Linked DNA regions of Mus musculus: all the other regions are reported to be linked to region 1. Evidence: microRNA targets listed by miRTarBase, many of them from high-throughput screens and not tested one by one. Region 1 holds a microRNA gene; each other region holds the end of a gene's coding sequence.
What was found. Region 1 holds the annotated microRNA mmu-miR-3089-5p (UGAGUUCAGGGACAGCGUGUCU, at 1,651-1,672, opposite strand). A microRNA usually pairs through its seed, bases 2 to 8, with sites in the 3' UTR of a target mRNA and lowers its output. Matches are read on the target gene's strand: a 7mer-m8 pairs with bases 2 to 8, a 7mer-A1 pairs with bases 2 to 7 and ends in A, and an 8mer does both.

Region 1 (3,178 bases):
CTGCGCTCAGAGCGGGCCAGGGCTGAGCAGATTCTGGTTGTTATTGTTGCTGTCTGTGGCACCCTGAGTGCCTGCCCCAACACCCTCTAGGAGACTCTGGGGAATTTTCCAGAGCTTCAGGGCTGAGTTGAGCACAGATCTCAGAACTCCTAATGTTTGTTTCTTGTTCTCCTTCCCCAGCCTCCTGAAAACACGGATCCCCATCAGCCTAAAGTGGTCTGGGAAATGCTTGGTCTTCCTTACACTGATTCCTGTGTCTTTTTGTTGGGCTTTGGGTTGGAAAACTCTAGAAGAACCTAGATCAAATTTTAGAATTGAACCCTGAGGGTCCAGGCTTAGCTCACCCAGCAAGGCAGCTTCCCTGGCCTATGCAGCACAGCCACCTGCCTTACGCTGAGCTCTGGCTCCTTCAGAGGCCTCTGGCATTACCAGTGCTTCTTGGACAGTGTCTTGTTTCTGAACTTTAGGCCACAAAATAGAACAGACTGGGGTGCCTTTGGACCCAAGGGTAGGAGGACAGAGCTGTACTCCCAACTGAATTAGGAGGCAGAAAGACTGGGGGGTGGGGGGTGGGCATGGCATCCACAGAGAGGCAGGGGTGTGGGAACCCTCTGAGGGTGCCGGGCAGGGGCTGTGGGCCAGGCCTGGGAGCCTCGGGGAGGCCGGCAGGCACAGAGAAGGAGGCCTCCTACCAGACACTGTCTAGACGCAGCAATTATTGTCAGCTCGGAACACCCAGGCTCTGCCTGTGCAGCTGAAAAGGAGCTTAACAAAGAGAGAGGGAGGAAGAAGAAAGCGGAGCAGAGCCGCTCTGAGCCTGCCTGCCCGCCTGCAGCCCGCGGCTCTTTCTCTGCTTGGGCTCCCCCCCTCTTTGTGTTCCACAGGCACTGTTGAGGGGACAGCTCCTCACAGCTCAGAGATGCCTGATGGGGACAGAGCAGGAGGTGCAGCTCTGGGGCCCTGGCCAACTCTTCTGAGCTAGGCTTCTCAGAGTGGATGCTGGGAAGTCTGGGTCTTGTCCACTTTAGAGGGCTCTAGCCTACACCCTTGTCATACTGATGGGGAGCCTTGGGTCACGGAATGACAGCCTGACACCTACCCTCCTCTGCTTCCAAGGAGCCAGGCACTTTGTAGATAGGGTTAGGGGTGGGGGCTCAGAGAACACAGTCAGCCGTGGGGTGGCTTCAGGTCTGTCCTTTAGATCTGGGCCTTATTCTTCTCACCCTTGGGAGGAGGTGAGAGGGCAGGGCCAGCATAGCTTTGATGGGAAGCCCACCCTCCCCCGCCAGGACAGGGTTTCTCTGTGCAGCCCTGGCTGTCTTGGAACTAACTCTGTAAACCAGGCTGACCTTGAACTCATAGAGACCCTCCTGCCTCTGCCTCTTGAGTGCTGGGATTAAAGGTGTGTGCCATCACTGCCTGGCTGGAAGACTGTTATTAGCCGTGGCAGGCCCTTCAGAGCTGGAAGATGAGCACTTTGGATTCCATATGTGTCCTAGAACCTTCCCCCTCCTCTCAGTTGCCATTCCCGAGACCCCCTTGGCGTTGGCAGCAGTGGTGCTCAGAGTGTAGGGGTGGAGCCTCAAGGCCCTGGGTTTCTGCAGCTAAAAACACAGCTCAGGATCAGCAGATGCTCAGACAGAGAAACTGAGACACGCTGTCCCTGAACTCAGTTGCAAGCCACCAGCTGTTCCCCTTATCTCCCTGTTCCAGGGCATCTGGGCAGGGGCTCTGCTCTCAGCCCAGTCTGTAGCTCTAACTCTACCCACTAGCTTAGGCTCATGGAAAGGACCTACTGTGTGCTCAACTCTGCTCTCCTCTTGCCAGCAGTTGGGGTTGGGGGCCGGGTGGGGAGTGACTTGGTGGGTGGGCACCTTCTACATCCTGTGGAGGTAATGAGCAGTCCCAACCTACTGCTGGGGAAAGGCCTGAAGCTGGTCAGGGCTCCAGAGTGACTGGGTAGGGGTAGCTGGGTCCCTCTCAATCCTTCTCAATTAGAGACAAGGCCCTCAGAGCAAGAAACATGCATACCTGCCCTTACATCACACCCGAGGCCTCTTGATCTGTCCCCAGGACCTTCCCAGGCTCCAGGCATCGGCCTGGCCTGCCCGAGGCTCAGCCCTGCTGGCCACACACTGTCTTGTCTGCTGTGTCTCCCAGTACTCAATTATAGGAACAGAACCCTCCTCTCTCCCTCTGCACCATTACCATAACAAACCTGATTCCCCTGCCTATACTGCAGACCCACCGGGATCAGCCGGTCCACCAGGATTCTAGCATATTCTGCAATGCCACTGCAGCTCCCTCAGCCCTCCCCACTGGGTCTTCCTTTCACCTGGCGCTCTGAGCCATCTCTACCAGACCCTCAAATATGCGAAGCTGCCAGCCTGCTCCTGTGAGTTGTCCCCTGCCTCCTGAACAGCACCAGCCCTCCCTGTCACATAGCCAGCCCAGACAGCTTTCTGATTCCTCCCGCATCTGCACTAGGCTGGTCTTCCACCATGGCACAAACCAAGCTTGAGTTCAGCCCCCAGTTCCTAGCCTCTGGGAGCTTTGGAGACCTGTTCTCTCTGCTCCATAAAAGCCTGCCAAACCTTCCAGAGGCAGGAATTGATAGACCACTTGGATCTGAGGCCTGAAGACTGCCAGTCCTGTCTTCCCTGGCTTCGCATTAGTTGAGTTAGTCATCCCAGTAGATCCTCATGCACCCTTCTCTAGGACACTTCTGACCCCTGCTGAGATCACACACACAGCCAGTCTGCCTAAGTCCCTGATATTTCAGCCTTCTTGGGGGCACCCAATGCATTTTTTATGGCTCGCCACGCCTGCGAGCCCTGTGGGCCAGCTGTCTCTGGCTTGTCTCACTCTGTGAACCCAGCTCCTGCTTCTGAGGTGCCTTCCCAGCCTGACACCACCTAGAGGTAGGAGAAGTGACTTGGGCCCACACCCCCCCCCCCCCCCCCCCCGTAAGTGAATCCCTCTCGGCCCAAGCACCAAGGCAACCTCTTTGTCCTCTTTCCCAGGGCCTCCATGCAGACTCCCAGGAGTCACCGTGAAGGCCAGAACAAGGCTGTGCCATTGTGCTGCCCACTGACCTGAGAGCACTCCCAGGAGCTGGAACTGCCTTGTGCCCAGTTCCTCCCTCAAGCCCCCATGCAACTAGGCCAGTCCACAAGGA
Region 2 (3,178 bases), not on the chromosome of region 1:
TGATAATAAAATATGATTTCCAACCGCCATTATGTTTAAAGTTCTAAAATCATATGTCAGCACCAGTATATTTATTCATCATATTTCATTTTTATTAGGTATTTGCAAAAATGTACAATTTTTAAATTAGCCCTTGATGAATTTGTAAATTCTCCACGTGTCTTTGGTTTTTGCTTATTTGATTTGACTAAAATAGTTCTGGTATGCTCTAGGTGTTCTGGGCATTGCAGCTAGTGATTGTCCTGCTTCCTGGAGCTATTTTCCACCTGTATGCTGCATGCAAAAGCATCAATCAAGACTGCATTCTTCAGAAGCCCGTGTACACTGTGATTTACGTCCTCTCGGTCTTGTTAAGAATCAGCCTGGAGGTGTTCGCATTCTGGCTTCAGATTCACCTCTTCGGCTTCCAAGTGAAGCCGATATACTTGTGTGATACTGAATCTCTTGGTAAAAAACCAAATATTCTAAAATGCATGGTTCCAGAGCACTTTGAAAAGACTATTTTCCTCATTGCAATGTACACATTTACTGTGATCACGATGGTATTATGTGTTGCTGAGGTTTTTGAGATCATATTTAGAAGATCATGTTTTCTCTTTAAACGATGACCGGGTTGATAGCCTATTACCATACCATAGTTCCTATCAGTCATTTATACTTAATTTTCCCATCAAGTATTTCAATTCCAAATGTTCTTTAAACTTTAGTGTGTCTATAATTTATGTATACTAGAAAATAGGATACCAAGTTCTAAACTAGGTGTTTTTGAGCAAATATTTCCTCCTATTGTAATGGTATAACTTATTATGTAATAATGTACATGTAAGCCTAATGATAGCTCTTTTTTTTTTTTCCCGAGACAGGGTTTCTCTGTATAGCCCTGGCTGTCCTGGAACTCACTCTGTAGACCAGGCTGGTCTCGAACTCAGAAATCCGCCTGCCTCTGCCTCCTGAGTGCTGGGATTAAAGGCGTGCACCACCACCACCAACTGGCGATAGCTCATTTTTTAAAATACTAAATGTACAGGCTTCTCTCATGTACAATACTTTAAGTGATCACCTTATTTTTGGCCAAAGAGACTTCTTATGTAGATTAAAGACTGGAAATTTGATGTTCAGAGATGATATTTATGTGCCATGTCACACAACCAAACCAGAATTTACCTCTTTCCCTACACACTGAAACATGTGTCTTTAACTCCAAAGACATAATTATCTTTGCATTTGTGTAAAATATACCTTTAAACACAAAATATAAATTAATTAAAAGTCATATAATTTAATCACTAACTCAAAGAAGGCAAGCAATTGAATTTTTAAATATTAAAACCCATATTGTTTTGCTGGAATCAATATTAAATGATTATGGAGATAGTTGCCGAATAAATTAGAGTTGTTATGAATAACACTGTGTATGGCTTCCTTGGTTTTTGTTGTTTCCATACATCCTCTGCAACAATTAACTTTCATATTAAAAAGTACTGAAATGGAAATTTTGTTTCCATGAAACTATAATTCCTCAACAGTTTTGGCATCATGCCATAGGAAACTTTGCAGAATATCAGAGTACTTCTTTCTATTGCCTGTATTATCAACAACCATCCTCAGCACGTGTCATTTAAAATCCTGTATGTCCTAATGCTTTATGCTGGCCAGCACTTTGGTAGGGAGCCACACAGAGTCAGATACTGAAATTTTGGAATTTTTATTAAGCACTGTTTAGCTTATACTTGATATTAAAAATTCTGTATTAGGATTTTAAAAACCATTGATATAGCTATACATAGAAGCACAGAAGCAAATCCAACTTTGTTTCACTGAACAAATAGCTACGGAGGACCTATTATTTAATGTGTACTACATTGCTAGGTCAAATTTAAAGGCAAAAATTGGTAAACAGAGGAGGTCACATTCTATTGTCCAATGATACATCTAGAGAGTAGTGACCTGTCATAATGAAAGTAAACTGTAAATAAAATAAAAATAAGGTATTTAGTAAGTGTCTAAATATTTCAGAAAATCACTGATAAATTTATAATAATCCATGGAATAATGAAGACAAAGCATCAGAAATTAAAATGTACAATAACCAAATGATACTGAAAACAGAATTTACTGGAATTTGTTTAAAGAATTAAAACAGTGTTTGGAAGCCTATAAAAATTCTATATTATGTCACTAAAAATTATAAATATATTTATCTTCTCACTTTAAGAAATTATCAAAACAACTAGCTAAAAAGATTAAGTAAGATAAGGATGAAACTAAACACACAAAACATAGAAAGATGAAAGTTAGGAGAAAACGGGTTAAAAGAATCTTGCTAAAACTATTAAGTTTTCAGTTACACAGTTTTAGATGATGAAGGAAAACAAATCAGCCTTATAATAAACAAAAAGTGATAGACACCAACGTGATTATAAGAGTAGTTGACTAATTAACAGTAAGTTTAGTGAGATGAAGAAAGTCTTTGAAACCCATATTACTTAGACAGGAGAAACTGATAAAATACATAAAATTACAAATATACTTAAGTCTATTTTAAAAATTCAAATTCAAGTCCCTTCCATAAGGAAAATTCCACATCCAGACGGCCTCTGGTGGAAATCGTCAGATGTCTGAAGAAGAGCGAACACTGCAACATCTCTTTAGGAAGAAAGAAAAAGGAGCCTCCTAGCTTCTTAAGCATGATTGTGCTGGGATGATTGGAAAATATTTTTATTTTATTTAATTAGAGCAGCTTAATTTTGTATCATAATTTTGGTGTCAAAATTCCCAGCAAAAAATAAGCAAATGTAAGCCAGCTATGTATGTACAAATTAAACAGGTTGGGTTTATCCTGGAAATTAGAGACATTTTATAAACACTCAAAGGGAATTGATGTGCTTGACCTGTGTTAAAAGAATAAAGAAGAAACCACATAGCCGTCTTAGCAGATGCCAATGAAAGAATTTGATTATATATAACAGTCATTCCTGATAAAATAAACAAAATCAAACTTTTCACTTAATATGAAAATTACCTAAATTTGATTACATATATACATATACACACACAAATACATATACACATACATGAATGAATCTTTGGAAACACCACATAATATTGAAAGAATGAAAAATTTTCCTCATGATTTCAGCAAGAGAAAAATTTCCCCTTTTACTGTTTTGGTTTAATT
Region 3 (3,178 bases), not on the chromosome of region 1:
AAACAGGCAGACCCTGGGACCAACCAGCCAGCAGCCTCTCCTACTTACCAAGCTTGCTGCCACTGAGGGACTATCTCAGAAGACAGGTGGACGGCCAATGGTGGTTCAGTGAGTAAAAACTGTCACCAAGCCCGACTACCCAGTTCAGTGCCAGAAAAATACAGAGGAAGAGACAGTCATCTCCCACAGTTTCTCTGACTTCCACACATATACAAAGTAAATTGTAATTTCTTAAAGGAGCCCTCAGGGGCTAGAAAGATGACTCAGCAGCTCAGAATACTGGTTGTTCTTAAGAGGTCCTGAGTTCAATTCCCAGCAACCACATGGTGCCCTGTTCTGGTGAACAAGAAAACAGCACTCATACATAAAGTACCTAAATAAGTAAATTTTTAAAAAGGGGGACAGGGGCCCCCTAAAGAGTGACACTGATGTTGCTCTCTGCCCTCCACATAATCTCAGAAAGATTCAGGACTAGAGATAGGGGTCGCCCATTGGTGGAGCCTTTGTATAGCACTGCGAAGCCCTCGCTTCAATCCCAGCAGCATAAAACAAAACCCTCACAACAGCTAAAGTAATCTGCACTCTTCCAGATACATCTGCTGCAGTTCCATGGAACCAAGTACGCTGCCATCGATCCGTCAGTGGTCAGTGCGGAGGAGCTAGAGGTGCAGAAAGGCCGCCTCGGCCTCAGCCAGGAAGAGCCATAGATGGGGCTTGAGATGCCGAACCACCCTGCTCTTGCACAATCAGTTCGGGTTCGTTGGTCGGGCACACTGGTCCTCACCCTTCTGGAAGTCGGACTGATTGTCAATCTCATGACAGGCGTCAGCTCTTCTAAACCAGTGTGACTGGCCCCTCTCCACATTTGTTTTTGTTTTAAACTTTTAAATTTGAAGAACTTTTAAAGACTCCCATTTTAAGAATTGTGAAAATTTTGCTACCAAAAGTCTTCTCCACTCTGTTCATCTCAAAAGCTTGGGATCATGTGGCGTTCTCTCTTTTCCTGCTTTCTATAACTGCTGCACCCACCTCCAGGTTAGAAGAGGAGCACCGGTCATTTTTATGCTTTCTTGGGCATAACCAGAGGGTCGAGGCTGGCAGCCTGCTGGCCACTCCCTACACATCAGCTTTTTTGCTTTCCAGTTGAGCACATCATTTTGAGTATTAGCTGTTGTATTTCTAGACATTACATTTGGAATAAAAATTGAATTTCAGCCAGTGGCTTCTGTGATGAGTGAGGCTGCCCCTCTGGGCTACTGGCCAGTGCTGTGTGATGTCGGGTGAACAAGTCCATCACTCTGACTGCAGCACGGCTGGCTGTTACCTGCTGACTGCCGCTGTAGCCTACGTGCTCTTTTAATCTTTTTCACTAATGGGATTGTTAAAAAAGAGATAGAGTCTCATTTAGGCTAGGCTGGCCTTGAACTCATTATGTGTCAGGGCTAGCTTAGAGCTCCTGATCCCCCTGCCTCCACCTCCCAAGTGCTAGGATTACAGATGTTATCCTGAAAGATCACCAGATGCCCGATAGAAGTGGTTTTAATACATATGGAGAACATAGTAAACTGTCTCCAGCTCTTGATCCAATGTAGAAAACGTCCAGCCTGTGGATAGCCTTGTCTCCCTCCCGCACTTTTCTACATCCCTTCCTATCCTGGATGGCTATAAAGCATTTCCATGTGTCCTTTCAAGAGATATGATAGGATACTTGAGACGCTGGGGAGATGAGTCTGTGAGTAAAAGTGCGTGCTGGACGAGCATGAGCACTTGAGACCGCCCAGTGCCCGTGCACAGTGTCAAGAGTGTCCAGGCAGCCTGTAACCTCAGATAGCCCAGTGCCCGTGCACAGAGTCAAGAGTGTCTAGGCAGCCTGTAACCTCAGATAGCCCAGTGCTCGTGCACAGTGTCAAGAGTGTCCAGGCAGCCTGTAACCTCAGATAGCCCAGTGCCCGTGCACAGTGTCAAGAGTGTCCAGGCAGCCTGTAACCTCAGATAGCCCAGTGCCCGTGCACAGTGTCAAGAGTGTCCACATAGCCTGTAACCTCAGATAGCCCAGTGCCCGTGCACAGTGTCAAGAGTATCCACACAGCCTGTAACCTCAACACTAGCTGCAGGGCATCCATTCTCTGGCATCTGCCCACACATACACAGATATATACACCCATCTGTATACAGGTATCTATACAGTAACAAAGAGGTTATTTGATAATAAAGGTTGAAATATCTGTATATGTAAGGGGTTTTATTCAGTTCACATAGTAGAAAATTTATACAATATACACACATATAGAAAGCTATAATTAACATTTTGAAAAAATTAACACTTATGGGAAATTATTGACATAAAGCTAGAAAAAATTAATATCTTAACTATAACCATAAAAAACAAAAATCTTGGGCCAGCAAGATGGTTCAGCAGGTAAAAGCCCTTGTCACACCAGCCTGATAACCTGTCTTCAACCCCCAGAAACCACAGTGGAAGAAGAGAACCATGTCTACACATTGTCCTCTGCCTTGCATGTGTGTGCTGACACATGTACATGCCCATGGTCATACACACATAGTAAATTCTAAATAAGCTGGCATGGTAGTGCATACCTTTAATCGTTAGCACAGCAGAAGCAGGAAGGTGTCTGTGACCATGAGGCCAGCCTGGTCCACACTGTGAGTTCCAGATCCATAAGGAACACCGCCCCCCCCCTCCTTAAATAGAAACCAAGACTCTTGGCAGGAAGATGGCTGCTTCAAAGCAACAGGTTTACAGCTGTATACTGAAGTAAGTAACTGACTGCAGGTGACCATGGGATTGATTCATCAGGAGCTTAGTGGGGTTCTCCGAACACCAGAGATCTGCAACAACACCAAGAGAAAGTACCATCTACCATCTGGCTGAATCCCCAGCCTTCCCCTCTACCCCTGCACATACACACACATACTACACAGAAAGGGACAAAGAGCTTGCTATTGCAGTTTCCTGGACCTTGAAGACTGATAGCCTTAATATATAGGAGCTCCAAAGTCAGCAGTGACCCGGCTTTGGAAAAGGAATTCACGTAACTCCCAAAGACCTCACTGTGCAGTAACCAGCAGCCATCTTGAGAGGGAACCTACCTTCTGAATTTGGACTGCATTGGAAGTCTGAAACACATGCATATTCCCATCTGCGCAACCCTATAAG
Region 4 (3,178 bases), not on the chromosome of region 1:
AGGCCCAGGCCTGGCGGAGCTCTCGTCCTACCATGGAAAACTCTGGAAGCCCTCTGCTCAAGAAGCCCCTTAAATAGGCTATCTCGTCTCAGCAATGCCGGCTTTCCCCGGGGAGGGATGGGGGGAGCTTGACCGCCTCCCTACTGCGGCCTCCAGCTTCGTCCCTACCTGAACCCCAGCCAACACAGGTGTCTGTGTCTGGTATGAGGATCAAAACCACTAGGAAGAAACCCCACACCCTGCAGGATGACATCTATCAATGACAAAAGTGTTAGAAGGTTCCCTTGAGGGAGACAGAAGAGCTTACTCTCTCAGGCTCCCAGTCCTTTCTTGTTGCTGGAACCCTACCACAACTCCCCCACCCCCACCCCCGGGAACCCCCACCCCCACCCCCGGCAGGATCCCTCCATGCAGGAGAAAGCCAACCAGAGGCCCTGGGAATTTGACTTGCTCAGGGGAGTTCATTTGAACTGGTGCTGAAGGCAGCCCCCCTCACCAACCACACTTTCACACTGCCTCCTCCAAGATTCTCATAAGCTAGGTGGGTAGGGGTGGCGAGTCAGGTCAGGTGACTTGTGGGAGTTCTTTTGAGGCCACCATAGTATATGGTGGCAGAGCGATGGAGCCCTGCTGTGTTGTCCACAAGGGGCTGAAGGTGGGCAGGGCCCGAAGTTGCCTAGCACCCCCACCCCCCCACCCCTGCGCACTCCCTCCAGGCTAACCTGGCCTTCCAAACCTGCTGTTGCTTGGGAGTTGGAGTGGGCAGGCACAGCCCCCCCCTCCTGTTCTCCCAGCCGCAGAACCAGGGGTCAAGCTGGAAAGCGGATGTTTTTACTTTAAATAAAGCACAGTTGCCCCCCCCCCCCCAATACATACACTATCCCCCAGGAAAAACCTCTGGTTTCCACAGAGAGTCAGGAGACTGGCCAAGTCCCTTCCACTTCAAAGAGCTCTTGGCCTCCACTTGGACTCCAGTTCCCAACCCTGAGAAGCAGTTTCATTTCCATAGCCGGTTGCCTTAGCTTCTTTGTGTGTGAGGGGCATTTTGGAAGCAGAAAGAGGGGAGGCCTATAAAGAGGGCGGTGGGGGGGGGGAGGCTCTGAGCAACTGCCTGGTTCTAGGCCCCTTCCTCTACCCCAGGTACCCTCAGCCTAGGGGAGCAGGCTCAGGTGGAAGGGACTGGTCTTGGGCCCCATGTAGAGGTACTAAAACCCCTGGGTCTAGCACATACCAGCCAGGTGCCTGAGCAAGACAGGGCCCTCAGGCCAAACTGTAGCCCCACAGAGTCACCTTTGAGCACACACCAAGCTGACCCTCAAACTTGCTAGCCAGGCAGGGAACAGACTGTGTCGCCCAGGGCTGTAAGCTGAGACCCCTGGGATCCCTGTCTAAGCTAGATGCCCCTTCCCTCCATTCAGCAGAGTGAGAACTAGTGGCTCCGTGTCACAGCCTAGCAGGGGCAGCTACGGAACCACCACGCTGCTTCTCCCGAGTGGGGATAGGGCACTCTGTGGGAACCACCACGCTGCTTCTCCCGAGTGGGGATAGGGCACTCTGTGGGAACAGTGTCCGGCCCCTCCCTCTCGCTTCTCCACCCCCTCCACCCCAGCCTTACTCCACACCGTGCAGACAATCATTTTGTATGGGTTAAGAGCCACGTCGTCGGAAGGTTTTATACAGTGATTTGTTACCTAGGAACGCACTGTGCCCAGATTTCTGGTGTGCCAATAAAAGAGCCTCTGCTTTATAGACCCGGCTGCAGCCTTTGATTTCCAGCTTGTTAGTGGGTGGGCCACTACTGACCCCACATGTTCCCACCATCCAGCCTTAAGGTCACCTGCCCAGTCAAAGAACTGACGAGACCCTGTGGGACTCTTCTGGTACGTGTGAAATAACTCATCTTTTATTTTTGGAAACAACAAAAAACAAAAACAAAAAACAAACAAACAAAAAAAAAACCCCAACAGTCAAGTCTCTTAATTACAGCTGAAGGCAGTCAGGGAGTGAGTGGCACTTTTAAAAGGCTGGTCACAAGCTGGACAGTGGTGGCACACACCTTTAGTCCCAGCACTTGGGAGGCAAAGGCAGGCAGATTTCTGAGTTCAAGGCCAGCCTGGTCTACAGAGTGAGTTCCAGGACAGCCAGGGCTACACAGAGAAACCCTGTCTCCAAAAAACAACCAACCAAACAAACAAACAAAAGACTGGTCACACTACTTGTAAGACCTCCCTGGGGAGGGTCAGTCCCCCCAACCCCCAGCTCCCCTTGAGGTAGGCACAGAGCCCAGGCTGGCTCCTGTTTTGCAGACGGGAGAGCCAGAGTTTGGACCACAAAGCTCTAGAAGTGTTTAGATCCACAGTCCAACATGGCAGCCACCAACTAGGAAGGGCAGTGCCTGCTGCTGTCAACTCGACCTCTTTCCTCTGGCTGACTTGACACGGAAGCTGAGAAACCCAGTCTTGTTTCCACGTGTGGAGTCTGTTTTCAGGCCACCCTGTAGGTACGCAGGACCCCACAGAGAGTGGAAGAGCCAGAGAGGGAACTGCAGGGCTGCCCAGAGCCCAGCAGGCATGGGGGCTGACTGAAAGGCTGCCCTCCCCCCAGAGCCTCCGGTGTCATTTAGATCCCATCATTCCTACCCGGGATTGTCCCCAGCAAAGCCAGCCTCCAGATCCCCACACTAAGGCTGTTAGGTGCCGGCAGTCAGGACCTTCTCACCCATGCAGAGCTCTGCCAGTGACTATCTTCTCAGGAGATCCACGGGGACCACAGAGGGTCCCCCTCCCCACACCTCCCCCTCAGGAGGCTAGCAGAATCGCCCCCACACCTCTAGGCCAAGCAGCTTCAGTCACGCCTTCTTCAGGTGAATCACCCCAAACTCTGTGAGCAGGACCACAACAAGGAAACAGATGTAGAAGAGGAGGAGGCAGAGGCCGTAAGCCTTGCTGAGCTGGAAACACTGAAGCGGCACGGAGACCAGGGAGAAGATCAAGCTGAGGCCCAGGGCACTGGCCAGCACCCACACCAGTAATCCGTCTGGCTCCAGCTGTGGGGAGAACAGGAGTTGTTTAGTCCCCACCCTGGGAGCCTTCTGGGCCATGTGCACCATGAAGGGAGTGTTGGGTCCTTGGTACACAGCTATGGGGTCTGCCACGTGGTACTGTCTCTATCAGCGTCC

Region 2: the mRNA of Gje1 is a reported target of mmu-miR-3089-5p. Seed matches in the 3' UTR shown: 7mer-A1 at 893-899 and 7mer-A1 at 922-928.
Region 3: the mRNA of Spg21 is a reported target of mmu-miR-3089-5p. Seed matches in the 3' UTR shown: 8mer at 1,422-1,429.
Region 4: miRTarBase lists Slc8b1 as a target of mmu-miR-3089-5p. Seed matches in the 3' UTR shown: 7mer-A1 at 2,127-2,133 and 8mer at 2,098-2,105.

What each region holds. Positions count from the first base shown.
Region 1 is chr2:30,719,716-30,722,893 of GRCm38, reverse strand. It overlaps Mir3089 (microRNA 3089), which reads right to left and starts at 1,684; the gene lies at 1,601-1,684. It overlaps Gm14488 (a long non-coding RNA gene), which reads left to right and starts at 1,707. Exons shown (of 4, transcript XR_866106.3): 1 at 1,707-2,921; 2 at 3,024-3,178. Gm39782 (a long non-coding RNA gene) reads left to right here. Exons shown (of 3, transcript XR_866107.2): 3 at 181-1,331.
Region 2 is chr10:14,713,849-14,717,026 of GRCm38, reverse strand. It overlaps Gje1 (gap junction protein, epsilon 1), which reads left to right. Exons shown (of 3, transcript NM_029722.2): 3 at 213-1,401. The coding sequence ends at 608. All of the region lies in intron 1 of 1700016L04Rik (RIKEN cDNA 1700016L04 gene), which reads right to left. Among named protein-coding and RNA genes, the nearest start is that of Gje1, 2.8 kb to the left of the region's middle.
Region 3 is chr9:65,486,243-65,489,420 of GRCm38, forward strand. Spg21 (SPG21, maspardin) reads left to right here. Exons shown (of 9, transcript NM_138584.2): 9 at 591-2,228. The coding sequence ends at 707. Ankdd1a (ankyrin repeat and death domain containing 1A) reads right to left here. Exons shown (of 15, transcript NM_001370871.1): 15 at 2,229-2,850. The coding sequence ends at 2,759. Among named protein-coding and RNA genes, the nearest start is that of Spg21, 27 kb to the left of the region's middle.
Region 4 is chr5:120,532,728-120,535,905 of GRCm38, reverse strand. Slc8b1 (solute carrier family 8 (sodium/lithium/calcium exchanger), member B1) reads right to left here. Exons shown (of 16, transcript NM_133221.2): 16 at 1,882-3,046. The coding sequence ends at 2,849. It overlaps Tpcn1 (two pore channel 1), which reads left to right. Exons shown (of 28, transcript NM_145853.2): 28 at 1-1,749. Among named protein-coding and RNA genes, the nearest start is that of Slc8b1, 23 kb to the right of the region's middle.